Linked DNA regions of Tamandua tetradactyla. The protein of the gene in region 4 interacts with the protein of the main gene of each other region in a biochemical or structural test. Links are inferred from orthologs where the notes say so. Each region holds a gene or a part of one and is shown on either strand. Other genes may lie near its edges.

The links.
Region 1: the proteins of KLHL12 (region 4) and FBXL17 form a complex in vitro, tested with the Homo sapiens proteins (3 studies listed by BioGRID, with this or other methods). The link is inferred for Tamandua tetradactyla from reciprocal best matches to the Homo sapiens genes KLHL12 and FBXL17.
Region 2: of the proteins of KLHL12 (region 4) and SEC31A, one has a biochemical effect on the other in vitro, tested with the Homo sapiens proteins (3 studies listed by BioGRID, with this or other methods). The link is inferred for Tamandua tetradactyla from reciprocal best matches to the Homo sapiens genes KLHL12 and SEC31A.
Region 3: the proteins of KLHL12 (region 4) and LNPK form a complex in vitro, tested with the Homo sapiens proteins (2 studies listed by BioGRID, with this or other methods). The link is inferred for Tamandua tetradactyla from reciprocal best matches to the Homo sapiens genes KLHL12 and LNPK.

What each region holds. Positions count from the first base shown.
Region 1 is NC_135347.1:22,018,289-22,025,947, forward strand, and holds the start of FBXL17 (F-box/LRR-repeat protein 17), read left to right. Parts: upstream 1-4,656; 5' UTR 4,657-4,755; coding exon 4,756-5,748; intron 5,749-7,659. UniProt on the Homo sapiens protein: Substrate-recognition component of the SCF(FBXL17) E3 ubiquitin ligase complex, a key component of a quality control pathway required to ensure functional dimerization of BTB domain-containing proteins (dimerization quality control, DQC).
Region 2 is NC_135350.1:44,826,050-44,833,725, forward strand, and holds the start of SEC31A (protein transport protein Sec31A), read left to right. Parts: upstream 1-4,670; 5' UTR 4,671-4,820; intron 4,821-7,676. UniProt on the Homo sapiens protein: Component of the coat protein complex II (COPII) which promotes the formation of transport vesicles from the endoplasmic reticulum (ER).
Region 3 is NC_135329.1:148,211,337-148,218,607, forward strand, and holds the start of LNPK (endoplasmic reticulum junction formation protein lunapark), read right to left. Parts: upstream 3,021-7,271; 5' UTR 2,814-3,020; intron 1-2,813. UniProt on the Homo sapiens protein: Endoplasmic reticulum (ER)-shaping membrane protein that plays a role in determining ER morphology. Involved in the stabilization of nascent three-way ER tubular junctions within the ER network.
Region 4 is NC_135330.1:60,149,331-60,156,430, forward strand, and holds the start of KLHL12 (kelch-like protein 12), read right to left. Parts: upstream 3,007-7,100; 5' UTR 2,936-3,006; coding exon 2,867-2,935; intron 2,528-2,866; exon of another isoform or gene 2,384-2,527; intron 940-2,383; exon of another isoform or gene 758-939; intron 1-757. Other genes in the region: ADIPOR1 (adiponectin receptor protein 1), read right to left, coding at 5,512-5,640, 5,975-6,168. UniProt on the Homo sapiens protein: Substrate-specific adapter of a BCR (BTB-CUL3-RBX1) E3 ubiquitin ligase complex that acts as a negative regulator of Wnt signaling pathway and ER-Golgi transport.

The DNA.
Region 1 (7,659 bases), on a different chromosome or scaffold from region 4:
TTAGATTTCAAATCATTAGCTCTTTCTCAAAAAGTAGTGCAAGTGATTTTTTAATATATTAAGAAAGTAGTTTCTGAGCTTACCCCTTTAGCCAGAACTTTAATTGGAGTGTTAACAAATATAGTTCAGAGTATACCGGATGCAGCTGAATGGAAGTTTTTGCAGTACATAGAAAAGAAAAAGAAATTTAAAATAGAACCAGAAAAGTACAATAGTAGTATTTCTTATTGGAGAGTGAATTCCACAATGGCTTTTTTATACCTTGATTTAAATAATTAGGAGGTACTTGTTACCAAATTTGTAAAATTATTCCATTATTCACTGGTAGCAGAACATATGTTTTCTCCCGTATAATTTAGTATATAGGAAAATAATGTATTTTGCAAGTATTGTACCTTAACTATGTTTGTTACATCCCCCCAAATACATTATTCAAAATCTGGATCCTATTTATGGAATCTTCAATGAAATCCAAAAAAATAATATGAATAAATGCTCAGGACACACACTCACAAACACACATACACAGTCATATAGATCACATTTCCATCTTAAGTGAATTTTTATTAAGTAGGTAATACATGTAATACAGAGTAGAATTCATTTCAGGGGAAGATTCTTCAGACTTTTAAAAATCACTATTAGTATTTAGCAATTTATTATATAAAGGGGTTCCCAATATATCATCTTACTGTTCTTTAAATACTTTTTTTTTATGAAAAGGGACTTAAGAAGTAACCATGAACCATCCAAATTACTTATAATGGTCCAATCTGAGTAACATTTAATTTTAGGGAACACTATCTACTCTTAACTTTAGAATTATTTAAAATTTGTTGGCATTTAATAAATACCTTTTTGGAAGCCACATTTCATTAGAAATGTAATTTTTCCAAAGTTTCTGGCCATATACTCTCTTTTCTTCAAATAACTAGGTCTGAAAGCAATGAAAACCTGAAAAAAATAATGTTTTCCCTACGGCATTAGTTCTTAAGTTTTAGAATGTGGATTACTTAGGAAGTTTATTTAAAATGCACATTCACTGGGCCCACGTCAGAAGTCTACTGTGCCTTTGGACCTTATTTTGAGAAACACTTCTGTGGAGTTTCTCTTTTCTTTTTCTTGTGGCTAATATTAAGAAGAATATTTATGATAAAACACTTTGAGGATGGGTAAGCAGTGAGTTACTTATTCATAATTTTAAACATATTTTGAATGACTTCTTCAAGTGAGTTTTCTTCTAAAAGTATATCCATCAGTTGTATACCAATTGTTCTGGTTTGCTAGCTGCCAGAATGTGATATGCCAGAAATGGAACAGCTTTTAAAGACGGAATTTAGTAAGTTGCAAGTTTATAGTTCTAAGGCCATGAAAATGTCCCAATTAAAGCAAGTCCATAAAAATGTCCAAATTAAGGTACCAACAAGAGGTTACCTTCACTCAAAGGCTGATAAAGTTCAGGGTTTCTCTCTCAACTAGAAAGACACATGGCTAACATGGTGAGGTCAGCTAGATTTCTCTCCAGGCTTCTTGTTTCATAAAGCTTGTCCAGGGGTGTTTTCTTTTTTTATCTCCAAAGGTCTCTGGCTGCATGGGCTCTAGTTGTTCTCCTGGCTCTGTTGTGGCTCTCTTCCTCTCTCCAAAATGCTTCCTCTTTTAAAGGATTCCAGTAAACTGATCAAGACACATCTCCCTCCAATCAAAGGTTAGTAGCCACAATTGGATGTGTCACATGCCCACAGAGATACTCTCATCAAGTTTCCAACCTACAGTGCTGAATAGGGATTAAAAGAAAAGGTTGTCTCCACAAAATGGATTAGGATTAAAACATGGCTTTTCTAGAGTATATGGCTTTCAAACTGGCACACCAGTAATGTTATAAATGATGAGAATTTTTCCATGATGAGGTTTTAACAGTTATTCAGGGTGGTTTCTTGTTCTATCTTTTTTTAACTAACAAGAGTTAATGTGTATTTTATATAGAAATGCATTACAGATGTTTTGTGTTCTGCTTTTGCAATTTTTAAATGCCATACCGATCCTTTTTATATTTTATTATAGAAGTTTTCTCAAAATACTCACAAGGGGAATAAGGTGGTAGGCAGTGAGAATGGCTAGAATTTTGATGTTCTAAGAAAAAATTTATTTTGCATAAGCATGATATTTGTGGTCAGATCATTTTATATATATGTAGCCTGAATTGGATACCAGGTATTGTCCAGTACTAGTACATTTGCTTTTTAATTTTTTTTTTTTGTCATGTAGACTACTGCCTTTGTCATCATATTGAAACATGTATTTCTGTAGTTCAGTGTCTTCCTCCAACTTCATGCGGTTGTTGGCAGAATTCAGAAATCACTGGCCATCAGTGGGGACTATTTTTATCTCCTAGAGGTTACCTGCCATTTCCTGCCTGGTGACTCTCTCTGCAACATAGGAGTTTCCTTCTTGGAAGCCAACAAGAAAGTATATCTGCTGCTGCTTTGAATTTCTCTGAGATCTCCCTGGCTCTGACTTCTAGATTTTCTTTCAAAGACTCACCTGATTAGGTCAGGCCCAATCATGGGAATGATGTCCCATCATATTCATAGATCTTTCCCAGGCTTATGGGTGGTGGATTATGTAGGATGGGTGTATCTGAAGTGAGAATCTTGACAGTCATTTTAGAATTCTGCCTGCTACAATGGTAGACATTTCATTAACTTATTTTATAAAGTTTATGAAACATATTTTTCATTATTAAAATAATACATAGCGACTATAGGCATTTATAAAACATACTAGAGAGTTAAAATGAAACATAAATTTGTACCACCATATCAACAACACCACACTTAAGTGGTTTTCCCTTTTTTTTCCCCCATGAAAAGGCTTGGAATCCCCCACCCCCACCCGTCCCCTTTGTTTAGCCTGGTAGAGATGGCAAAGTCCTCAGGCAGGGGGACTGCCCCACATTTCTTTCCACCTATCACCCCCTTGTGGAGTTTGGGACACTGGAAGGCTGCCCCTACAGGCAGAAAGGGGCGGTTAAGGGGGTAGATTCCTGAGTGTGACAGACCTAAAATAAAAGTCATTCATGACAGAGACTGGTATTAGCAAAGGTTTGATGGGATGTTTTTAAAACCCCTGCGACTTGTCTTTCATCCTTCAACAGGTAACCGGCTCCACTTAAAGGGAAATTGAAACCATCCGAAAGGAATACTTGCAACTTCCGTGCCACAAACTTCCAAACATCGGTATTCTTTATCTATCCTTTCCTCATTCCCTCCAATCACAATGAGGAAGGTACCCCTCCTAAAGCATTCCAGATTCCATCTTCTCAGGGAATTTACTGTTTTTTTCTTTTCATCCCCTTATTCCTTCCTTATACTGGCTCATTCCCATCCCATACTTAAGCATCCTCAAATTTCTTCCTTGTGAAAGCTAACCACCCTCCAACGCCATGTACCACTGTTTTTTATTCTCTGCTCTCATTATAGTCAAATCTTCTAAAGGGTTGTTTGTCTGCAAACTCTTATTACTTCTTTCTCACCCAGGTCACCAAGTACTGCCTGGGGCAGTGTGTCCTATAGTAGGCACTGCACAATCATTTTTTAAAGTATATGATGGATGGATGTACAGGATTCTGAGGGTACAGACAATAAATTCATGTATGGCTTCATATATAGTAGACTGGGATGCTGTTTGACTTACTGAGTTGAGAAATTATCTTCCTATTGTGATGTCTTTGATATACGACTTCATTTTGAAATAAAGTTATGGAAAGTCAGCATTATGCCACAAGCAACAAGTATGAAAACAAGTGGGGAAACAATGGTGCCGCATAACCAATCCGTTCCCACATAAGGACATGGGACCGCATCACCCAAGGGCCGCGCGTCCCCCACCCCATCCGAGGGGTAGCCCGAGCCCAGTCTGTGCCTAGATCGGCCCTTCCGGCTGGACTCCTGTTTACAGCACTTGGCCTCGGTCTCGGAGTGCAGGGGAGAGCCGAGCGGCTCTTGGCCAATGGCAGCTCTTGAACTTACACCTCTAGACGTCAGCGCGGCAGTGTAAACGGATGTCACACAGCTGGCTCGGAAGCGTCTCCTCCCGCTCCAGAAAAGGGGGCGGGGGCGCAACGGCCTCCACGAAACCTTGGGCTCCGGAAGGGAATAAGGCGCGCTGCACCCCGCGAGCCCCAAGCCCTAGCGGGCCAGCATCCTCTCTGCAGTCCCCCGCCTGGCGGTAGTCCCGGGTGAGCTGCCTGAAGCCCGCGTCCCCGCCTCCAGCGCGCCGCCGCGGCCGACTCCGCCCCCTTTCAGCGCGGGCCGCGCGCTCCCGCAGAGCCCAGCCGCGTCGCGAGTGCGCGCACTGCCGGCGGAGCCGCAGTTAAAATGGTCCGAAGGGGACCCGGCGCTCCCCCGGCCACGGCGCTGACTGACTGAGCCGGCAGGCCGGGCCCGGACTCGGACTGGTCGCATAGCCGGCAGGCTTTCTCCTTCTCTCGCGTCCCCAAAGCTCTCTCCCGTCGTTTTCCCGGCTTTTCTGGGCAAAGCATGTAGCCCCCGTCGGGCACCCAGGCAGCTCGCAGCCGACGCCCACCCCCCACCGTCGCGTGTGTGCCTGTGTGTGCGTGTGTGCGTGTGCGCAGAGCGGGCGACCCCGCCGCGGGCCCGGGGCCGAGCCAGCGAGCGGCCTGTCCCGCCGCCGGGAGCCCGCCTCTCTGGGCCTCCCTCCGTCCCCGTCCCTATCCCCGTCCTCGGGGCCTTCTATATGGGCCACCTTCTCTCGAAGGAGCCGCGTAACCGCCCAAGCCAGAAGAGGCCTCGCTGTTGCAGCTGGTGCCGCCGCCGCCGCCCTCTCCTCAGGCTGCCCCGCCGGTCCCCGGCCAAGGCGCCCCCTCAGCCGGCGGCGCCCCAGAGCCGGGACTGCTTTTTCCGCGGGCCCTGCATGCTCTGCTTCATCGTGCACAGTCCCGGCGCGCCCGCCCCCGCCGGCCCAGAGGAGGAGCCGCCGCTCTCGCCGCCGCCGCCGCCGAGAGACGGGGCCTACGCCGCCGCCTCCTCGCAGCACCTGGCGAGGCGCTACGCGGCCCTGGCCGCCGAGGACTGCGCGGCCGCTGCCTGTCGCTTCCTGCTCTCTTCCGCCGCCGCCGCTGCCGCCGCCGCCGCTTCGGCCTCTTCGCCCGCCTCTTGTTGCAAAGAGCTGGGGCTGGCCGCGGCCGCCGCCTGGGAGCAACAGGGCCGGAGCCTCTTCCTGGCCAGCGTGGGGCCTGTGCGCTTCCTGGGGCCGCCTGCCGCCGTGCACCTCTTCCGGGGGCCGTCGCCGCCGCCGCCCGAGCCCACCACATCTCCAGAGATGGTGTGCAAGCGGAAAGGGGCAGGGGTCCCTGCTTGCACCCCCTGCAAGCAGCCCCGCTGTGGCGGCGGGGGCTGCGGTGGCGGTGGCGGCGGAGGAGGGCCTGCGGGGGGAGGAGCCTCGCCGCCGCGGCCCCCCGACGCCGGCTGCTGCCAGAGCCCGGAGCAGCCCCCGCAGCAGCTCTGTCCCCCGCCTTCCTCTCCCACTTCGGAAGGTGCCTCCATAGAGGCCGGCGGGGACGCTGTCCGAGCTGGGGGCGCCGCCCCCTCGCCCGCCCAGCAACAGCAGCAGCATGAAGGCGGCGACGCGGACGGTCCGGAGTCCCGCGAAAACCCCTGCGACTGTTACCGGGAGCCGCCCCCCGAAATCCCAGACATTAACCAGCTGCCGCCATCCATTCTGCTCAAGGTGGGTGTGGGCCGCAAGGATGCTCGCTTCCCCAACTCCGGCCCCCGCCTCCAAGGTTTCTTCTCTCCTCCCCCTAAGCACGGGGGAGGGGGCTGCCCTGAGAGCCAGGGACATCCGATTGGGAATTCAGTAGGGAAGATGCTTACCGTCTGTTTTTTGAACTAGAAAAATGTGGAGTCTGCTGACTGTTATAACTTCCATCTATTACCCACAGTTTAAGGTTCGTCTCTTTTTAGATTCCAAGCCCAGTGGTTTAGAAACTATTTGTAGGCTTTTGTGAAATATTTTATCAATTGAGCAATTTATACTTACTGGATAGTGATTTTGTCTATTAGTATTTGAAAGCCTTCGAACGATACTTTTAGATTTAATAGCTGCTGGTTGAAATAACAGTTAACTTGTACTGAGCACTTACTATGATCAGGCACTGTGCCAGAAGCTTTGTATACATAATATCTCATTTAATTCTTCATATAACCCTGTGAAATAAATATTGTTAACGTCTTCATTTTATTCAAGAAGAAACTGGCATTTAAGTGCTATGGGCCAGACTTAACAGTAGTGAGGCAGGCAGAAGTGGTCTTTGCTCCGATGATGTTTACACTCTAGTGGGGCATGAAGACATTGAATGACTTGTACAGGGTCACACCCACAAAGTAAGGGGCGCATCTGGGTCTGGAACTAGGGAATTTAGGCCTGCCTGCCCTAAAAAACCCTGTTCTTCATTCTGTGTTGTATTGCATTACTTCTGTTTAATCCCTACATTAGAGCATACAGGTTCCTACAAAGTAAGGGCAAATGTATTTTTTTGTTGGGGATGGGTGTGTGGAGAAGAGATGGTTGTTGTGTGGTAGCTTTGCAGCACTTTCAACTAAGTGAATTTTGCAATTTTGTCAATGTTAGTGACAAAGTTATGAGATAGAATTTGTATGAAGTTATGATTAACTTAAGTTCTTTTGTCTCATTTTTTGCCTGCTGTCGCTCCTTCCTCTTCTCCCTTTCTGGAGCTTAAGAAACATAAGCCTCCCTTTTTCACTGTGGATAATACTTAAGGTTAGCCATAAATAACCTTGTTAAGAATTTGACTACTTTTAGTGATACTCAAGGTCACCAGTCACCAGTATACCTTCTTTGATTAGTCTTTTTTGCATATTTATAATTCCGTATGTTTGGATCTGTTCTACTGTGAACAGTAGAATTAGTCTTCTTGTGAAAATACAGCAAAAGTGAGGGGAACATGACAGCACTTCTGGAGGTATATTGAAGAGTAATTGCTTGTCATGTGGTGTGGGAAGGGGATGGATTTTAGGGCAGAGGGAACTTTCCTGATACCTCTAGATCATTGATAAATTTGGCACGAGGTTTAATTGCTGTCTTTTTATTTGGCTAAGTAAGACTGCTAAAAAACAAACCAAAACAAAAACGAGGCACTTTTTATTTAAATTATTTCATGCGGTAGAGAACATTTTAATTTTATTCCCCCCATAATCTTGCAATGTAGTAAAACCCTATAATAAATTTATTCTATCTGCTTCATTCTTCTTTTTCACATTTTTGCTGTAGACTGCTGAAAACTTGGCCTGAGGATCTTTTGACAATTACTTGCCCTTTTATGTTGGAGTATTTGGACATGTTAAGTAGATTTCCATTTCTTGTAATAGAAACTGACATAAAGATTCTCTAACAGATCTTGTGGTCCTTGTAGCATTCAGCATGAAGTGAGTGGGACAGCCTGGAATGAATTGAAATCAAGATTCTTTCCAAGTAGGATTTTGGGGGACAAGGCTTTTGGGGCAGAAGGCTGTATGCCTTGCTTTCTACTGTATTCCCTCCCCAAGTGCAGTACTCAGCATATGGTAGCACTCAATAAATATTAATGGGAAATGAATGGCCGAGTCTTGAGGGAGTCTG
Region 2 (7,676 bases), on a different chromosome or scaffold from region 4:
CCATGTGCCTTTCTGGTTGAGAGAGAAACCTGAACTTCATCGGCCTTTCTTACGTGAAGGTAACCTCTTGCTGGTGTGTAAATTTGGGTATTTGTATAGATTTGCTTTAATTGGGACACTGTCACAGCCTTAGAACTATAAACTTTTTCAACTTAATAAATTCTCCCCCTTAAAAAGACCATTCTGTTTCTGGTATGTCACATTCCGGCAACTAGCAAACTAACGTACATAATAAATTAGAAGTTTTGTATTTCTTATTGTTACAGAATTGAAATCATTTCTAGAATGCACATTTACTGTATATTTTTTAAAGGGATAAGCAATGAAAACTTTGACTAGAGTTTAATTTCAGAAAAGAACACAGTACAAGTGTCCAGTGATTAAACTTTTCCCACTGCTGTTCACATCATGATTTGTTGTGATTAATATATGTGGATGAGGACATGATGGAAAAAAAAAGTTATTTTATATGATATGGTTTTGGTACATTGATTTGCCTGTTTGCATGTTTTCCCTTTTAGGAATAAAATTGAAAGGTGTTTTTTTAGAAAACTATCATTTGTCAGATTTATTTGACCAAGAATTAGAAGATTTATTTAATAAGGTAAGGAGTTTATAAATTATTCTTAGTTTTTTTTTAAGAGAAATTTGAGTTTACAGGAAAATTTATTAGTTTTGATAAAATAGTGAAGGGTATATCTGACCAAAACATGAGTATAATGTGGATATTGTGCATGGGTTTTGAAATTTTTTTCCCTAATCTGTTTCAAAGACAGTATAAATATGATTTAGAGATATGTTAATCTAAATCAATAGATTAAATTTCAAATAGGCAATGGAGATGAGGGGACACTTTTCTTATAAATAATGATATCATCTTTTCAGCTCCTGAAGCTTTTAGAGATCATATGTTCCAGGATTTAGATTTGCTGAACTATTGGTTATTCCATAAATAATTCTTGGGTATCCCTGTGGATCAGCATTCTGTAACTTAAGCTTTGTTCAAGAACTGTAGATAGAGTTGGTAGGAAGCTGATAATTAATCACAAATCTAATTCTGATTCTGTCATTGATTAGATGTGTTATCTTAGGTTGTTTCTCAAATTTGAGGAATCTCTATACCATGTCAAAAAGGAGAAATATTCTTGTGAATACTCACTGTTGACTTAAGCTAATTTCCTATTTCTAAAATTTACACGAGCACAAAAGTTGGCATAAATTCTTGTTCATAGCCCTTAATCAAAAGATTTTAAAAATAAATTATTAATAGGAGCAATGCTGCTGATTTTTGTGTGGAAATGTAAACATGGTACTGATTGCTATGGAACAAATTGTTTACGCATAGCTATCTGTACCTTGTGATGATTTTGTCTAGAACTTTACTCTTTGCAGATCTTTCTTAAGCTGCTGAGAAAGCTCAAGATTTTTTAAATGAAATGTGGGGTGGGGACTAAATTCTTAAATAATACGTCTTTGAACTATCTACAAATCCTATTTGAAGAATTCTGGATTATCTCCAAACATTCTTTTGGCTCCAGTGAGTAATTCAGGGTCTTAGAACTAACATTCCAAGGAGAATGCTTCAGTTTGATTTGATCAAGGAGTAGACTTGGCTAGCAAATAATTATATTGGATTAAAACTTGATAATTTTGCGAACTCTAATAGAGGTTTTTCTTTTCCGATATAGGTAGTCCTTGCTTTGCACAGTTCCAATATGCATGAACATCAGTTGCTACAGTTAAGTTAAATAACACCAGTCTGCCAAAAACGCAAAGTATCAGTTATCACCAGTTCTATGAATAGTTGCATAAAGTACAACTCTTTTTTTTTGCTGCTAGCTCTCTTGTCCATAAATCATTATGCAAATAACAAATGTGCATCATGAATCAAAGTCCGCTTTGGTCACTGAGCATCTGTTATCCAGTTCATGTACAAACACAAAAGTGTGTAGCCTCATTGTTTCCCAGTGATAAACACATATGACATTTTACAAAAGTGGATAAAGAAAGAGGGAATTGAAGAAATACAAAGTAATAATGCTGGAAGTGAAATTGTATGTGATTAGAAGATTTGAAAATGGTAACAGCAAAGCCAAGATAGGAAGAGATCTAGGCCTGCATGAAGCTATGATATGAACCATATTGAAAAAAACAAGGTAAAGTAACCTTAACATCTTCTAGCATAAATTGCACTAGGAACAGGAAGCCTCTCGATTGAAATGGAGCGTTTACTTCAATTTTGGATTGAAGACTGTAGTAAATAAAAAAACAAATCCCAATCAGTCTGACTAGCATTCAGATCAAAGCATTGAAGTTAGTTGCTACGTTGAAAGAAAATGTTTTATTACAAGGAGACTGAGAAAGAACATTTTACTGTCAGTAGAGGCTGGTTTCATTGTTTCAGAAGTCAGCATGAATTGATTAGTATTAAATTATCTGGTGAAGCTGTTTAGATAAAGATGCTGTGATGAAGTTTACCTCCAGATTCCAAGAATTACATTAGTCCTTGCTTTACACAGTAGTGCAGGGTGGTACTACAGGAATTTTTGCAGGATTCAAATAGTAATGGAAATGGAGTTACAGAAGATACAGCTGACTGGGAATGTTGACACTGCTGCTGTTGAAGAGACTTGAGATATGCAGCCAGAGGAACTTAATGAAGGTGACTTATCGACATAAATGAGGAAAGTGGTTGTGATGAAAAGGATGAAGGTGTCTCAGAGGAAGTGTTTCTGGCAAGAAGCTTCATATTAAAGGAACTCTTGATGACATTGAAAGTGCAAGGGATAAAATTTTGGATGCTCATCCAAACTTAGGAGTATGACTGTTTGCCATGTCATAGAAAAAAAGATGGTAGCTCCATATCATAAGTTATGTGATGAGAAAGAAAGCACTGTTAAAAAAAAATAAATTTTAATTCTTAATGTTTCTAATGTTTTAAATTTTGTATACTAAATAAGTATTTTTACTATTTTTTACATTGATAAGTTGCAAAATAATGTTTTGACAAATTTTTAAAGGTCAAAAGTAATCATAAATTTAGATTCAGCTTGTATAGTCAAAACTAGGACTGACTGCACTTAAAACAATCCAGAGGCTTCATATTTAATCACATATAAATATGCACACCTAAATTTATCCTTGCAGTAATGAGTAAATTGGCATCTACTTTTTTAATTCCGTCTACCCAATTTATTTTAACCTTTGTTCTTCATATTTTTTACTCATCTGCCCATACCCGAGACAAAAGGAGCATCAGACACAAGGTTTCCACAATCGCAGTCACATTGCAAAAGCCATATCATTACACTATCTACTTTTCATACTGCCTTTGTGCACACAAAAATAAGAATTTGTAATACTGATTATTTGAACTTGAAGTATTAACCTTTTACCCTATCGTAGAGTAGGAGTTGACAAACTGAAGCCTCATATAGTAAATACTTTATTCCACCTTGCAACTGCTCAGCTCTGTCATAGCAGAAAAGCAGCTACAACGATATGTAAGCTATTGAATGTGGCTGTGCACCAATAAAAGTGGATGCATAAATTTGAAATTTGTCTACTATTCATGTCCCCAAATAAAAGTCACTGACCCCTACCCCTAAGGAAATGGAGGAGGGGTAGGGGTATAGTTTGCTACCTCCTGCAATAGAAACATGCAATTGGGCTGAATGTATTAGATGGTAGATTATTTGGGTAAAGTTCTAATAAGCCCTGCCTCCAGATAAAAGCAGGTGGTCTGAAATAGGACAGTGACAAGTAGAAGGCCTTTTAGAACACCCTAGAAATTACCCGGTGTAGGTTGTTGATCTATTTCTAAAACTTGAAGGGTACATTACCTGTAAGAGGGTGTCGGGAAGCGTGCATTAAAAGTTCAAAATGTTCCTACCCTTTAGCACTTAGTGTTTCTCATATTTTACTTATCTGTACAAAAAAAAGAAACGTTACATCTGGTAACAACTACTATAAAACGCTTTAGGAAAGTTGGTTTTTAATTGAAATGTAATGGGGAAAAAGCTGGTTGAATTAAGGCGGTTGGATTTAGATGCTGTTTCAGCAAGTCGTCATCCTGTGGTTTGCTTCATTGTAAAATAATTGCTCCTAAACTATATCAGAAAAAAAGGAATACAACGCACCTAATTAGATGGCAGGCTTTAGCAAAAGCCAGGAAAATACTAGTGGCCAAGGGCGAGATCTTAAATGATACCAATTGGAATATCCCCTCACCCAATCTGCCTCGGTGGAATAACAAATCTGCTACCATTTCAGGCCCCCTTACGTACTTAGACAATTGGAGAAAGTAAACTTATGTTCACAACAACTTTCGGTTATAACCAAATAAACAAGTAATAAACTACAGATACTCAAATTGCCCTTGAATCCTCATTTTCAGGTCTGCTGAGTATTAAGGGCACCTCAGGATTAGTGCTCCGTGACGTTCTTGGGAAGCCGTGGCCATTCTCCGGCATAAAGCAAACCCCAGCAAGATCTTCCTTTCTCGTAGCCCTGGCCCTCACATGGACAACCTGTGAGCAACCCCACAGAGGCAAATCCCTTCCCTCTAGGGCGCTGGAGGCGGCTGAATGGACTCAGGTTACCCAGCCGGTAGCTCCTCCCGGAAGTGCTGTGGCAGGCCGGCGCCAAAGGGGCGTGGCGTCGGTGCCGGAAGTGTCGGCCGGACGGGCGGGGCTGCGGGTGCCACGTTGGAGCGGAACGTGGAAGTGTCCCCAGCCGGGAGCGGGGGTGGTGGCGAATTCAGCGAGAGTCCTACGAGCGCTACGCTAACGCAGGAGCCGGTGGCTGAGGGTCTCCGCTAGGTGAGTCCTCTCCTTTCTCTCTTCGCCGGTCCCCCGACCTCAGGGTTGGGTTCGAGCCCAAAGCTAGGTCACCGGCCTCAGTCATCGCCGGCGCCTTCCGCCCTTGAGGCCCGGTCTCTGGCGGCGCGCCCCTGGTCTTCGTTTCGGCCCGGCCCGGCCCGACCTGACAACTCCTGGCGTCCGAGCTGCTTCGGGGATCACGCTCTTCACATCCGTTGATGTTTCCACAGCGGACCCGGAGCTCCGAGGCTCACGACGAGATGTCCTGCCGAGGAGCCCAGCCGGGCGATTAGTGGGGTCTGAGGTTAGGAGACCTTCGGAGCCTGTGCACAAAGAAGTACAACCCTCGAGAGCTGGGGAAAGAAACAAACCTCGAGATTACTTTACTAGTCTTCAGTTTGCTAAGGATTTTTTGTTTATATTTGAGCTATTGCCGACTTAAAGGCCCGTACATTTGAACTGAAGGATAATGTCGGTTAACCAGATTGGATCATTTTAAGGGCAATAGTCGTCAGTCGCAGCCTGTATTATATTTCGAAGGAAGTCTTACGAAGTATTTCATGTTTTTGCTAGTAAGTTGTTATAGTAAGAATTTAAATCCCGCACTGGTTGTAAAAAAATCAAAACATTGCGTTATTAACTTTTGTTGTGAGCTCAAGGAACTAATTTTACTTGGGTCTGCTGTGATGTTCTGTGTCAAAATCGTCCTATTAAACCACCTTTTCTAAGATAAAACAGAAATTTAGTTGTCTTTATTCAGTAATTGTAACAGTATGTAGTTGACAATTAGAGGCTCATTTTTATATTTTATATGTTCTTCTACGTTTTCTGTATATACCGATTATTCTAGAGCTGGCCAAAGCAGACACCTTTTTTAGGTGGTTCTTGTAGGCTGTTTTCCATCATCTCATAGTTACAGCTTTGAAAAACTTTTGTAGACTAAGAACTTTTAAAAAAATTTTTTGCATGGACAGGCACCGGGAACGAACCCAGGCCTCCAGCATGGCAGGCCAGAACTCTGCCACTGAGCCACTGTTGGCCGCCCTAGACTGAGAATTTTTTGATAACTTGAAGTGTTTCTGTAGTTGTTAATTTCTGTTACGTACGACCCCAGTTATTTGGGAAACAGGAGATTTGAGATGGATTTAGAATTATACTGCTTAATTTTATATAAGCAGGTTCTTTTCTGAAACTAATAATGTAGGAATAGAAGGAAATTTATAAACTATAAAGAGCAGTGATTCTTGATCTTTTGGGAATCCACTCCCTTTTGAGAATATGATGAAAGTGTTTGATCATCTTCCTAGAAGAATGAATGTACATGTGCACATAACGATTTCCTGAGTAATTTCATGGGGTTCAGAATTTTTAAGTTAAAAATCCTCATAAAGTGATATTATTAAATTGATTTAAAATTTTTTCAGAAATGTCCTTCTTAGGTAGGCTAATTTCTTAGATAGCTCAAAAAGCTTTATTTATTGTAGACTGCAGTAATTATGACTCCATTTAGCTCCGTGACCAATATCCAGTTGGTTCTTCTTTCATTTGGTTTTAGATGAGTTGGATGGGTGCCTAGAGTATTGGTACTAGTAAATAAATCCTTTAGAATAAGTGCTCTCATTCATAATGAGATATTCTGCTCCAGGATGGATTTTTAGGACTCAAAAATTCTGATTTTCTTACCTCTTACTTTAAGCAGTATAGTTCTGCTCTATAGATAGCATTGAAGGCTGGAATTTTTTTTCAAAGAATACTTGTGTTGGGTTTTAGGATTGCTTCGCAAAATTAGCATTTTGAAGATGAGCAGAAAGAAAAATTTCATTGCATGCAGTTATTGTGGAGAGAAGCTTGGATGAAAAATAAGTGTTCTAGTCTGGAACATAAATATTTTTCAACAGATGTATTTTTCAGGATTCATTCAGATAGACATTTTAAATTGCTGCTTTTGTAATAGCTGACATTTATGAACATTTATTTACTATAGGCCAGGCACTGTTCTAAGCACTCTTTGTGTTCTACCTTGTTTAATTCTTACAGCTTGCTGTTGATGTCCTTATTTTACTGATGGGGGAGCCAAGAAACAAAGTTACATCCCAAAGTCAAAGTTAGGAAGTGGTGGGAAGAGCTGGGATTTTAACTGAGGGTGTCTGGCTCCAGCTGATGCTTTTAACTGCTGTGCTGGATAGACTGTCTTGTAGATGGTTTATGGGAACAAACTACTATCCTCACAGTTTTTAAAAAATATTTTCATACTGATTATATTCTGTTTAAAATATTCTGGAATGAAACTCTTTTGCATGGCATGAATTTTTATCATATATAATTTTGAAAGAAAAATCACTAAAAGCTTTTAAAGTAAATCTCACTTGAGAAGTACATGATTTAATTGAAACCTTCATATTTTCAAAGAAGTTACAACTAAAGATAATTATCTTTTTAAAAGAAGGAAATATGCATCCAGGTGAAGCTGTATTTCCATAGCATTCCTAGTAGTTTGAGAATGATTATACTAAGTGGATTATGCTACATTTGTTTCATTGTATTCAGACCACATAAGATCTGACCATTGGTCTAAGCCATTGTTATAGTGATAAATATTTTTTTAAAAGATGGCATTGCAGCCTTTTGTTCAGAGTAGGTTAATAAGTGGCACCACTTCTGATGGAACTTTGAGTACTAAAGCCAAAAATTAAACTTTTCTAAAAGCTTTGAATTCCCTCTTAACCATTTTATGTTCTTGTCAATTTGTCTCTTTTTCTTTCAGTAAATGTTACATGTTAACTAAGTATTCATGGATTAGGTAGTCCTTGTTGTACCTTTTCTCTTAGAGAAACTGTTAATGTATTTAGTTGTTTT
Region 3 (7,271 bases), on a different chromosome or scaffold from region 4:
ACTTGGCCAAGTTGACACCAGAACCTAATCATCACAGGTAACATATTTTGTTTGCAATAAAGTGTAACCACAACCTACGAATGGATAATCAAGTGTGGTATATACATACAATGGAATATTTTTCAGCTGTAAGGAGGAATGAATTCCTGATACAGGCAACACCATGGATGAACTTTGAGGACATCATGTTGAGAGAAATAAGGGAGACACAAAAGGACAAATATTATATGATCTCACTATTATGAACTAATTATAAGTCAGCTCATAGAGTTAGAATCTAGAATAAGGTGACCAGGGGATAGACTGGGGTTAGAGAACCGGGAGTTGATACTTAGCTTGTACAGAATTTTTATTAAGGTTGATGGTAGGGTGTGGAAATGGATGGTAATGATGGTAGCACATTATTGTGAGTGTGAGCAACAGCACTGAACTATATAGGTGAATGTGGTTAAAAGAGGAATCTTTAGATGTGGATATTACTAGAGTAAAAATTAAAAGATAAAACATAAAGCTGTATAGCACAGTGGGCACTATTGCAGACGATGGACTGTAGTTAATAGTACAAGAATATTCTTTAGCGGGTTATAACAAATGTATGAAACTAATATACGGTAGTAATAATAGAGTGGTATATGGAGAAAATATAGCTAATGTAAATAATGGATTATAAATAGAACAATTTTAATAATCTTTCATAAATTATAACAAAAGTAACTATTGCTAGAAAATAGAATATATTTTTTAAAAAGTGCTATCATTAATAGTAACAAATGTTCCAACCTATGCAAGGTGTTGGTGGTGGGGTGACGTACAGGAATCCTGTACATTATGCATGATTGTTTTGTAAACTGAAACTTCTCTAATATAAAAAAATGAGAATAGAAACATCAAATTGGGTAAGGTAGTGGTATTGTGATTTGCAGGAGTTATCCTTAATCTTAGGAGATATATGATAAAGGATCTAGAGTTGAAGATTAATGTACTTTCAACTGGGTCGGTTAAAAAAAGAGAGAAAGAGGAAACCAATATGAGAAAGCGTTTCATTTGATGAATCCAGGTGAAAGGTATATGGGTGTTCATCATATTTTTCTTTCAACTTTTCTGTATGTTGCAAATTTTTAAAAAATGAAGTTCTATCAATTATCTAAAAAATGAAAAAGTACAACTGCACAGCCTTCTCAGCCAACACTCGTGTCTGCAACTACTGAGTAGCCCTGTGAGCCCCCTCCCATTACATCGAATTCTTGTTGTCGAAAGCCTATGCCTGGCAAAGAAAACAAACCTGCTGTTCTGAGCTCCAAGCCCACAGAGCAAGTAGATTTTCCCTGTAGATATTTATGCTGAGGAGTCACAGAATCTAAAAACATGAAAACTAATAGCCTAATGACTTTGAGTTTTTATAGTTATTTCAATCATCATTTAAAGGAGATAGACTAGAGATAACATTTCTGAGCACCTTGACTAGTAAATCACCAGTATTTAAACAACAATTACATTATGAAATGGAAATTAGCTGTCATGATCAAGTCGAACGGCTAATATAATTGATTGGTTCATATTTTTAAAAAGGTAGAAAATACAACCCAAAGAATAGCTTCATAGATTTTACAAAATTAACTAGAGATGACACATTCTATTTTGTTGGACAAATTGGGGATTTGTTAAGTGAAGATATTGTTCACAAAGATGCCTTAAAGGAGGCATTATCACCATCCTCATTTTACAGAAGATATCAAGAATCAGAGAGGTTAGTCGATTTGCCCTTACAGAGTGGCAGAGACCAGAAGATACATTACTGAGCCTCTTGCTTCTAAACCTGCATTATTTTCACTGGTCCATGTGCAAAGGGAAATTTGTTCATTGCTTTTCTTTGTCCTTTGGAATGGGTTTATGGAAGGTGGGTTCATTAACGTTGCCTTAATTTTTAAAAAAAAGGCAAGTTTTTCACACCAGGCAGGAAGCAAAAAGGCGCAAACCTGGGACCTTGGATTGTGAAAGTGAAACGGATTTCTTCTCAAATTATTTTTCCAAAACCTTCCTGGCATTTTTAAATCCCTTGAACTATCTGTGACCACCCACTGCTCTACAACATTCAAATTCAGTGATCTTGAGTCCACTGCCCCCTCACCCTCCACACATGCCTCCTCTCCTATGCATGTATGAATGTAGGAAAGAGAATCTTAAGTTTACTCCCACTGGTACATAACAAGAAATGAGAGTCTCTTACCAGCAAGGCACATTAAAATCCTTACAATCAGTACTAACAGTTTGTTTAGTACTGTTATTTATCCTACTATTAATAGGAGAAAACGCTGAAGTTCAGAAAGGTTAAGTAACTCGGCCAAGATCTCACAGTAAGTAAGTGATAAAGGTGGAGGTGAAAGCTGAAGACTTAGGCAGGGGAACCCCCTCCTACCACCACTCTCAGGCCCACCTATTTCACTAGAGTGCTCCTTAGTGTTGGCCTGGACTTGGTACAAGAATCTCAATTCAATCACTAACGGTGGGGCACACCCGAAGCCTAGGGAGGAGATGGAGAGGGGAAGTGGGAGTGCACGCCCGAGAGGCAGGCCCTCACAGAGTCTTTGGCTTTTAATAATATAAGTCCTTCTTTCTGGACCAACTTCGGAAATGCAGCTTGATAGAAAATCTGAACGTCACTATGGTCCCAACTTTTTCCAAACCTTGCCCACGCAGCTGAGGGCACGTGTGGCGCACATCTGCCCGCCCGCAGCAGTTGAAGTCACTCAGGCTGCGCAAAGCCCAAGCCGACCCTGGGGAAACAAGCCTCTAATTAAGCCCATGAAACTTACAGAAAAGCCCTTCCAGGGTCGCAGCCCTTTGAAAAGCGGGGATCCCATTTTCTGAGAGCCACGTCCGGACACGTTTTCGGGAAATCTCCGGAAGTGGAAACAGCTACCCCAGTTTCCTGGCCTCGGTTTTCCCTCCCGGCAGGATGATGCCCTGAGGTGCCGGAAAGAAAGGGGTTCCCCGTGGCGCGCGCGTCCTGGCAGGTGGTGTGCGTCCGGGTGTGGGCGGGGTTCAAGTCTGAGTGTGCGCTCACAAATACGCGATTGTACAAGCCGCCTGTTAACGTGTCCCACGTCCAGGAGCTTCCTGGCGGCCGGGGAAAGCTTTTCCAGCCCCTGACTCCTGTTCGCAGAAAGCAGGCCTGCAGGTCCGAAGGCTGGCGCGTCCACAGCGGGGAAAGCACTGCAGGCGCGGCCGGCCTCTGCGCTCCTTTTCTGCGACGCGCCGGCGGCTGCCGAGGCCATGACCCCACTCGACGCGTCTGGCCGAGTCCAGGTTCTCCTGCCCTCCGTGGCCACAGACCCAACCCAGAAACTGTGAAAGGCGGAAAGTCCGAGATCTCCCGAGGCCCAAGGCCCAAAGCCAAAGGCAATAAGCCTCGCCATCGTGACTGCGATCGCGGACGCCAATGTAACATTCCCCGGGTTCACCGGTAGAAGCGAGTATGTTTTTGTTTTCTTTTGTTTAAAAAAATAAAAAAGGAAGAGTGAGAGATGGGGGAAGACGGAATCGAAAGTGACCGTGAGCCTAGAGTTGACCATAGAACCCAGAACGGTGTTTATTTTCCTTTCTTTCCCTGGGGGGCGGGATCCTCTGGCCTTACAAGTCACTAACGCTCAGGGAGAGTTGTGTGATAAACGGTGGTTTTCGCCGGTGCCGGACCCTCTACTAGTCTGGGAGGCCAGCACCCGCGGCTTTTCTTGGCGCCAGGATCCACGCGGTCTCGTTGCCCTTTGGGGCCTACGCGGTAGCAGCGAGGCAGGCGCGATCCGGCTGGGAGAGTACACGCATCGAACAGCTGTGCGCACCCGGCCGCTGCCCCTGCGGAACTGTGCAACCCTCATGGCGGGGCCGGGCTCCGCATCCTTCCTGGCAGGCTCCAGTGTGTGGGGGGTGGGGCAGTTAAGTAGAGCGCCTCAGTCCCTGAGGGTCTGAACCTCCATTCCTTCCCCACCCCCACCCCCAGCCGCTCTGCTCTCTACCCCCAGACGCCCCGCGCAGACCCCTGCGCGCGCTGGGTAAATCTCGGCATCATGCCGGGAACCGAAAGCAGAGGACAGGAGTGGGATCTGTAACCCACCAAATAAGCCTCAGGGATTCCGGAACCGCAAGTGGCGATAGCCACTTTTCAGTTTGCAAAGTGCGAAAGTTTCCAATGCAGAATTCATCTGGGTTCAATCCCGGTGCTGAGCGCCAAGGACCTACAAAGATAGAGGAGCTGGTCTACTTGGAGGCTTTCGGTAGTCTCCGAAGGAGGGAGGATTAAAAGGTCACCTTTTCCATGCGAGGAAATTGAAGTTTCAACAGAAGTGTCCAGGAGCTGAAGGCTGCACTCGCCGGTACAGGCAGTGGCCCCAGCTCCCTAGGTCAACTATTCCGTCACGCTCTCGACTCTCCCCACCCCTGACTCGGTCCAGAACAGCTACTGACGTTAGGCAGCGCAGAGGGCAGGCCCTCAAGGCTCCGCCTCTGCAGGTTCTTCGATACTTCCAGGAGGGGTGGGCACCTCTCTTTTGAGCCCAGCCCGGCCCGCCCAGCCTGGGTTCCTCGGACCACCGAGCTTTAAAGGACATTGATCACTCCGCTTGATGCGATGCCTAGAGGAAAGGGCAACTGAAGACCGGTGAGGGCAGACGCTAAGCCCGGACACCCGGCCAGGTCCGCGCATCCGGAGACCTGCGATTCCCCAGTCCTACGGGTGAATTTTCCGAGGAGGCTCAGACTGGCAACAGGTTGAGGAGCTCATACCCTTGAAAATGCACAAGCCAGACCTCCAGTCCACCGGCCTCCACGCCCCAGGGATGACAGGAGCAATAACTACAATGGCTGCCCCTTACTGAAAGCTGCCTGCGTTCCAGGCAAAATTCAAAAGCCTGTGTGTACATTATCTCAGGCAAGCGTCACAGCAAACCAATGAAACAAGTTTTTTCTTTTAAGATACCCGTTTTACAGATGAGAAAACTGAGGTGCAGAGAGATTAATTACTTTGAGTTCCAGCCAAAAGAACCCAGTATCCTCATGTTTTCATTTTAGAGACTGGAATGTGTGACAACTGTTGGTCTGGGAGGCAGAATGCAGTCATTGAGGCTTGGCTCCCTGACCATGCGATTTTCTCAGTTCTCGGGTGACACCCACAATAAGCTTTGCCAGTTGGAAGCCTAAAGGATTAACAGGGTTTCTGTTCCCTGGTGGAAGAGTGAGACAGGGCCCAGCGCTGGAACCTAGGAACAAACTTTCTGGACACTAATTTTGGCTCTGGATGTTTTAGCTGTGTGACCTTGGGCAAGTTGCTTAACCACTTTGAGCTTCAGTTTTCTCAGTTACAAAAGAAAAGAATAATAATGCATAAGTCAGGTAGGCAACTCTTATGATCATTGTGAGAGTTAAATGGAGTAAGAGAACATTCCTTTCTCTCATCTTTTCTTCATTTTCCCTGTTTCTGGTATGGTACCTGGCATGTAGTGAGTGTTCAAGATAAGGTATGCTCCTTTCTTTTACTTTCTGGGAAGCAGCACAGGCTGCACCTAGGGCCTCCCACTCTCCCCAACCCAGGCCTAACACTGCCCAGCCACCAGTGGGGCAGGGGATCCTCCCGTTCTCCCTCAGCCTCAGGCCTGGGTTAAGTAAGGCTCAGACACCAGAGCCCACTTTTCAGTGGACTGGCCTCAGCCTCTCTAGTTCGGTGAGCAGTGGGTAAAGGGGGGTAAGGGTGGCCCAGGGAAGAAGCAAGGCCAAGGATAGGTCCCCAGACAAGAAGCAAGGCCCAGGATAGGTCCCCAGACTTGCCACTCCTTTCTAATTGAAGGAAGCTACAGCTAACACATTGAACTTACTCTAATTTCAAACCCAAACGTAATATATAGTATGTATATATTAATTTAATCTTCACAACTGTCCACTGAAGTAGTACTATTACTATCCCCATTTTACTGATGAAGAAACTGAAGACAAGCAAATAACCTGCGGTGACAACATCAATGAGCAATAAAGCAGGAATTTAAACCAGGAGACTATATGGCATCTCACATGGGGGTAGGGGTAGGGAGAGTGATGGTGGGAAAGGAGGGGGCATCTTGAAGAGAGGGGAAATAACCTGAGTCAGCAAGATCTCACCATAGCACCCAGAGGTCCAGAGGCCTGTAGGTGACATGGTCAGCCATATCTGCCCTCCCACCCCTCACCTCCTCCTAGGAGCCACCCCCACCTGCCCTGGAGACCCCTGACCCTGAGGCCACATTTTCAGGTTGTAGCTCCTTTCCTATTTTGGAGCTGGTCTTGGGTCTCCTGAGTCTGAGATCCAAATCGTATGCCTACTCATGGCCCACCTCTGCCTTTGCCTTGGACCTGCTGGGCCTTCAGGCTGCCACCATCATCATCCACCCTATCCTCTCATGGTTCTCAGGGCCTCTCCTGGTCTAGGTCCCTCCAGCCCACACCGTGCATGCCTAGGGCTCTTTTATCTGCCTCAAAATCTGATCAGATTCCTAGCAATTCCTAGCAGCCATGTCTGTCCTCCCACCCCATCCCCCACCCCATTCTCTCTCCTGTGAACACTCTGTTTGCCAGTGTGGACTGTCCAATCTCAGCTCCATTTCTTATGGGGGTTTTTTTTCTTGGTGGATCTGGGAGCTGAAGAAAGTTCTGGACTCCTGAGGAGTAATGTGGGGAGACGCTGGTCCAGGCAGTGCCCTCCACCACCAACCCCTTTAACCCCCACACAGCACTATACATCTCCAGCCAGGACCACCCACAAACAGACCTGAGTCCTCATCACTGCCTGTGAGGCCCACCCCTGCCTCTGGGCTTCCTACAAAGGGTGGTAGTTAAGGAAAGCTGTTTCATGGCCCTGGACTTTTCTCCCTCCCTCCCCCCCTCCCTCCCCTCTCCTTCCACTAGAGAGAACCTATATACCTTCTTGGCCTCACTCTTGCCTTCCCTCCCAGCAGCAGCCCTGGGCCTCCAGGTGCCTTTGGCCTTTCCAAATCACCTCTCCTCTGTCCTGTCTTTTATTCATTCCTTCAGTCAATAAATATTTATTGAGCCTCTACTGTGTGCTAGGTTCTACAGATCCCCAGCTAACCCAACCTTTGCCTTCTCTAGTGACCCAAATTCAAGCCACTGCCAGGAGCATGAGGGGATCACTGAGAGGAAGAGGCAGGGAGAAGAAATCAGGGAAGACTGCCAAGGAGGTGACCCAAAGAGTAAATAGAAGTTGGTGACCTTTGGGGACCAGAGAAGCT
Region 4 (7,100 bases):
GGTGAGACCCAGCAGGTTGAAAGACTTTTCTGTGAAGTCTCTGGGCTCTGTTTTTCTTATCCTGCCCAGTATGTGCTGCTTGTCTGCCTGCTGGTCCCACCAACATAAGATGATGCAGTACCTTTAACTTTGGCAGACTCTCCCTGCTGGGGGCATGGTGGAGACAGAGTAGAGGTTGTAGGCTGGTTTTAATGGCTTCAAATTACCAAGCCCTGGTGCCTGAATTCCTTGAGGGAGGGATTCCACCTGAGTTGGGCTTCACCCCTCTCCTGGGGAAGGCACAGGCTCCAGACAAGCCCTCAAACGAGCTTGTTTCTGCCTATGCCTGGAGCAGTTGCAGACTGAGAAGCCCTGCCACTGTATCCAAAGGCAGTCAGCCTTTGTAGAAACATAGCCACAAAAACCTGTTTCTGGGCAGGCCACAGTGGCTCAGCAGGTAACAGTGCTTGCCTGCCATGCCCGAGGACCCGGGTTCGATTCCCGGTGCCTGCCCATGAAGAAAAATAAATAAATAAATCCCCTTTCTTTTTCCATCAGCCCTGCCCCCTTGGTGCTGGGGCAAAAATGAGTGACCTCCACCTTGATCAGGTTCACCTGAGCTGGGAGCCTACTTTCAGTAGACAGAATTTGTTAATTAATGTCACAATTGGCGTTTGGCTGGGCTCAGCCCCTGCTGCTGGTTAAGTCTCTTTCCTTTCTCCTGTGGGAAGCAGCCTGTGGGGGAGGGGCGCCAGCTGCCACGGCTTGGGAAACTCACGATTCTGGGGAAGCTCGCAGCAGGTCCAGCTGGTCCAGACTGGGGTACGCTGTGTGTCTGGTCACTCACGTGGTCCCAGGAGCTGTTCTGTATTGTTTCTGGTTATTTAGTAGTTGTTCTGGAGGGCGAACTAAAATGCACACATTGCTAAGCCACCATCTTGGCCCTCCTCTGATTTCTTAATACTGAGTGTCCCTACCACCTGACAGTTATTGTCATCAATAGAAACTGTATATTTCCCACATATTTTCATAAGGTTGTTGTCTGAAATGATGAAATGATAAATTCTTTAAAAGTAATATTACAAACTTATACCCATCAGTAGATGATAAGTACTTAGTGAATGGGGATCCCATGTTATATATCTTTCTAGCCCAGCAGGCACAGAGTAACTGTTAGTTACTTGAATGTAAGAATAAACAAAGTGCGAGTTTAACCGAGAGCAAGAAAGGTCAAAGTCAGTGAATATCTTTTTCTAAAGAGGAATGTAAATAATGATTTATGACCTCCAAATATATCTGGGTCTCAAAATAAAATTCAAATGATGACCCAGAGCCTATATCATAAGGGAAACCATGCAAGCTGCCTATGGACTTTTACTTGATGAAGCAACAGAAGTCCTTCAAGAAAAGGATTTTCCTACTCTATGTTATTAGTAAACGTCCATCAACATTAACAAATCAATATTTATAGTAATTCTTCTTTACTCAGAGACCCTTATTTAGATTAAAAACCTATCTGAACACCACTAACTGCACTGCCGTAGCTTGTCACCTTCAGAGTTCATTTTATATGTTAATGAAATGAACTCAATAAATTACACATAAAAAATCAATTTAAGGAGTGCTTTCTTGTCAACAAGGTGTAATCATACTTAAGTTAGCCCCTCATTGCTATCACAAATTTTCATCTACTTCTGTCTACAGGTAGCATGTTATTTTGTAAGCACTGTAGATACTTGTAGAACAACTCTCTGCAATACTCATTTTACAGAAAAGGAAGTGATTTGTGGAAGCATATGATGTTTTTCAAAAAGATTTTCCTAAAATCAACTTAGGTTCAACTGTAGGGCTTAAGAAGGATTTGAACAAATGCCCATTTACTGTGAAGATTTTCTGGGTGGTTATCACAGGCTCAGCCTACAACTAGACTTAGAGTGTCAGTGTCAAAACTGACAGAAACGCTATTGCAGCAAGGTCTTCTTACTTGTCCTTCAAGTTGTCATCCAGCAAAGTCTCAGCCACAACCCTCACGCACAACTTTCTGAGTGACCGTTTCCAGAGCTTCCCTTAAGATGTGAATAGAGGGGTTCAACCATGGGAGATTGGGGACCCGGGGCAAATTTTGTTAGGAATAAAATCGAGGTAGGAGAAAAGGGAAGGGAAAAGAGCTCCCTTCTTCTGACACTAGCATTTTGGCTGGCACCACGAGGTGGAGGGACTAGAGGGGGCCGTGGGGCGCAGTAGAGAGGACGGATACAGCTGCTAAATGCCCCCAGCCTTCCTGCTCCCCAAGGCGTCCCTTCCATTCCTCCCCGGAGGGAGACGACGAAAGGGGGAAGGGCCATACTGGGAGCTAAAAGGTAAGAAGGAACGTGCTGACTGCCTCCAATTCCGTGCAACTCACCTCCACTCCCGAGCCCACCCAGCCGCGCCGGGCCCGTCCCCCGCCCGTGGGGGTGGGGTGGGGCGCGGGGCTAGCAGGCGGCTCAGGAGGGGCCGAACCGCCGCCGCCACCGCCGCCGCCCCAACCCGGAGGCTCTGGAGCGGTCACCGTGCTGGTCGCCGCTCTCTTCACCGCCGCCGCGCTACGTGATGACGTAACGCAGCTGGAAGATGGCCCCCTCCCTCCTCGGGGTCTGCGTCACGTGACCAGCCATTTCACGTGACCAGTTTCTACCCAGATGCCCAGCTTCGGTGCGTTTAGGGAGAGAGGAAACGAGAAAGGTGGCGCTGAATCGGGTCCGGCCCGCAGGGCGACGTACTGCTCTCCAGCTAGGTGATTGGCTGAGGCTGAGCCCCATCTCCCCACGGCTCACGAGGCAGAATAGATTTAGAGGATTCCAAGGATTTGTAAATTAAGGTTCTGATTCCAGGGAGTACGTATTACCTGCCAGCTATTTAGGAACCCTCTCCCATCGAGAAAACCCACAGAAGATTCCAATTTCTTTAGGTCCATTCTCCACAACGACCTTTTCGGGCAGACCTCCACTGTGGTGAGACACCTCTGAGCTCTGCGATTCACAAACCTTCACATTCTCTGCATCATAATGGGGCTACTCATCTCTCCTGAAGTGATTCTGCTTTGCTTCCTCTACCCCAAGACAATTAATTGGAAGGCATTTGTGGCCCCTAAAAGTAGGACACTATCAAGTTCCTACCTCATTTAAATACTAGATACAATGAGGTGCTCAATAAATATTTGTTATTTCTCAGATCCACGTCTCTGGCCTTATTGCTGAAACAATAAGCATACACTAGGCTTCAGCACATATTCCAGACCTCATTACTTCCTCACCTAGGAAGTGGATGGAGTTGTATCAGATGTGTTCCCAAACTTTCCTTCCAGTTATATACTGGTGGTTGCAAACTCAGAGATGACTCCAGAAACCAGGCAGATGACTCCTAAGAGTGAAGCAGGCTAGGTAGGGACAATGAACTACACAAGTCCTCTCTAGAGGACATAGCTGCTACTCAGCTTCAGTCGACTGTTCCCACTGTGCAAACAAAACATGTTTGTAGACAGTTGTGGCCTGCAAGTAACCAGTTTGTGACTTTTGCTAACAAAAGTTTTCTACTAAATATCAAATAGATATAAAACACTTGTATCTTTGAAATATTCAGTGCAATGAATACCCAGGTACCCATCATCTAGTTGGAAAAAGAATGTAAAGTTTACCATTGAAACATGGTGTGTCCCTCTCCTCCCACCCTGTGCCTTACCCTTCAGACATAACCATTATTCTGAATTAACATTCCCCTTTTTAAGATTTTACCATTTGCTTGTATCCTTAAACTATCTTTAGTTTTGCACATTTCTGAACTTTATATAAATGCAACCATATGTATTCATCTGTAAGTTGCTTTCCTCCACAAATTTACTTCTGAATTCAACCATTGCTTTCTCTGTAATTCATTTTCACTATTAGTGTTTCATTATGTGAACTTTAACGACATTTATTTTTCCATTTAACAGTTTTGGACATGGGCTGTTTGCAATATTTTGCTATTACAAGCAGCTGTAATGAACTTTTTGTTTATGAGCACAAGGCATATACTGATGCATATCTGCACAAAGCGGTGACACCAATGTGTACTTTTACCAGCAGCATTTGGTCTGCTCCACATCCTTGTGAATACTCAATATTTTAGGCCTTTTAATTTGTGCCAATTTGATTGTAGGGAAATGCAATATCATTGTGGTATTTTACATTTCTCTATCACCACTTGAGGTTGAGAAACTTCTTGTTCGTTGCCTAGTTGAATTATTTCTTTAAAAACATCACTTGCTCCCTGAGTTGTACAAACTTGAAGTGAATCCAACTTTATTACCCAAGAAGACTTTCCTTCAACACCCTATATTAGCTGAGAAGTAATTACTGTAGGCCTCACTTTATCTATGAGCAGAACTTGAGTATAATTCACAAAGACACAGAAAGGCATTGAATGACCCCTTATGAGACAGCCTAACCAAGGCAGTGTTAATAGAAACTAACTCTAAAATAATATATAGTACACCTTTGATAATTTTAGGAGATCCCAACATCTTTAAGAATCCTCTAATTATTTGATACCATTATAGAATATTAATTTTCCCAATAAAATGTCTTGCAATAGGTAGAGAAAAATAAGCTGCATTGAGGAGCAAATGCTAGGAATTCAGTTAGGCTTATTTCTTGGCCCACATATACCAGTCTGTCAGAGCTCATGATTCAAGTTTATGCCTCAGCAGAATCTGAAACTGTTATATGTCGTAGACCTCTGGAGTATGCAAATAGTTGAAACCTTGAAATGTTAAATCTTTGAATGCCAAGTATCTTCTGTACTTTTCTTTTATTATCGTCATAGTCTGTGCATCAAGATACATAGCAATGATAGCAGGTTTCTTTTTAAAGCTTAGTATTAAATATTAAATATCTTTTCCCATTTTAACTTTACATTACTCTGCCAAGAAAAAAAAAATTAAAACTCAAGTTATTTGAAGCCTGGACATACTTCCATGATTAGCCGGGCTATGTAAAAGTTGGTGGCTTTGATCTTGCTGCTGTATACTCAGATTCAGGCCCTAAAAAGATGGGACCAGGTTATAATTGTTTTTGAAAAGTCTGCTACAAAAATGGATGGCCTGTCATAAGCCAGGTTACAAAATAAGGATTGGGGTAAGGAAGGGACATTTTCTTTCAGAAACAGAATTTCTAAAGAGTCCCAGTTCATCATTTTTTCTCAAAATGGTCTGAGGAGGGAGTAAAATCTCAACATGAGCTTCAAAGTACTGTCTCTTTGAGGGAATGGTAGTTGCCTTACGGAGGGGGAGGGATAAATTGGACTATCCTCTTCCCCACCAACTAGGGGAAATGGAAATGGAAAGTTTATTGCCCAGTGAGTGTGAAAGTGGGCTGAAGCTTTGATGGTAAAGAATTCTCTAAGAGGTTTCTTCTAGAAACAGACAACTCAGACTCTTCCTCTCACTTCAGCAAAGAAGTTATTTTTAAAAGCACTTGGGAAGTTCCTATGCCACACCTCTGGTGGGAAGGCTCAGAGAAGGGAGTCATCAGTACAGCCACCTTCTAGGCCATAACGGAATTCCTGAAGATTGGAGACTCCATAGAAGTGTACAAAGGCAGCTGCCACCACCAGGACATGGAAAATCTGATGAGACTGGAACTGCAGGAATAAAAAAAAAGAAAAGCCTTTAGTATAATGGCAAAAAAGGAGAAGAAATTCTAGTGGGAGAAAACATCTGCCTCTTTCGGTTTCTTTAACAAAATTATTTTTTTACATCATAAAAGTGATATCTTTATTATAGAAAACTTTTAAAATAGTCCTGCTCAAAAGTACACCAAAATATTATTTTTTTACAGTTTTTTCTATGTGTATATACATATGTAATGCACAAACAGTGCAAGATTCCTAAGTCTATTACCACCTTTTTACTCAACCTTTAACTTTACTTTGGCCACTCACCATCATAGTCCCTACTGGAAGAGTCATTTCTTACCCATATGTCAAACTTTCCAGGAAAGAAGCGCTCAGGAATTCGAGCAGCATAAAGGCCAGCTCCAGTGATGTACATCACAGCCATGAGAAAGAACCAGCCCATCTGTCCCACTGTGGTGGCCTTGACAAAGCCCTCAGCGATAGTAAAGTGCATGGTGGGCACAACACCACTCAAGCCAAGTCCCAGGAACACTCCTGATCAAAGCAAACATAAAAACAATGAAAGAGCCACTGTGTGGAAGTCATTGTTATCTTACTCTAGATTCTAAAATGTTTATATTAATTAGCTATTTTTTGGTGAACAGTAAATAGTTAGGAAATTTAGCCAGATGGATAACAGCAGATATTTATTCCACAGCCCAAATGTCTAAGTGCTTATATAGCTATCTTTTAAGGAACACCAAGAACAAACACCTTAAGTTCTTCATTATTTGTTAAAGAGCCTAGGCAAGAATTATGTGAAACTCCTTCATGACTGACTCAGGTACAGAACTAGATTTCAAGGCTTCAGTTGGCTGAATAGATCACCTGGCTCCCAAGCCAAAGAAGAATAAGACACGTTTCCCATTAAAACTATAAGAAGCTGTACATAGCAGAGAAGCTTAGCCTACCTATAGTTATACCTAAGAATCGCCTTTGGAGGGCCTCTTTTGTGGCTCAGATGTGGCCTCTCTTTCTCTCTCTAAGCCCAACTCCGCAAGTGAAACCACTGCCCTCCCCCCTATTCGGGACATGACGTCCAGGGGTGAAAGTCTCCCTGGCAGCATGGGAGATGACCCCCCAGAGGTGAATCTGGCCCTGAAACCATGGCATCAACAATGCCATCCTTACTAAGAGGGGGAAAAGAAGTGTTACAAATAAGGTATCAGTGGCTGAGAGAGTTCAAAATAGAGTTGAGAGGCTACTCTGGAGGTCACTCTTACATAAGCTTCAGTTAGACATTGCAACAATCATAACTTGCCAACCCCTAACCAAAACCATTCCTGCCAATCCTATGGAATACTTAGGGCATTATATAAGATTCTACAAAGGTTCTATGTACTACTGTAACTTTCCAGAAACCTATAGCCTCCAGATGGGTCCCTGGACCAGATAAGTCCTGAAATGCTGAGGGACCAACTTCTTCA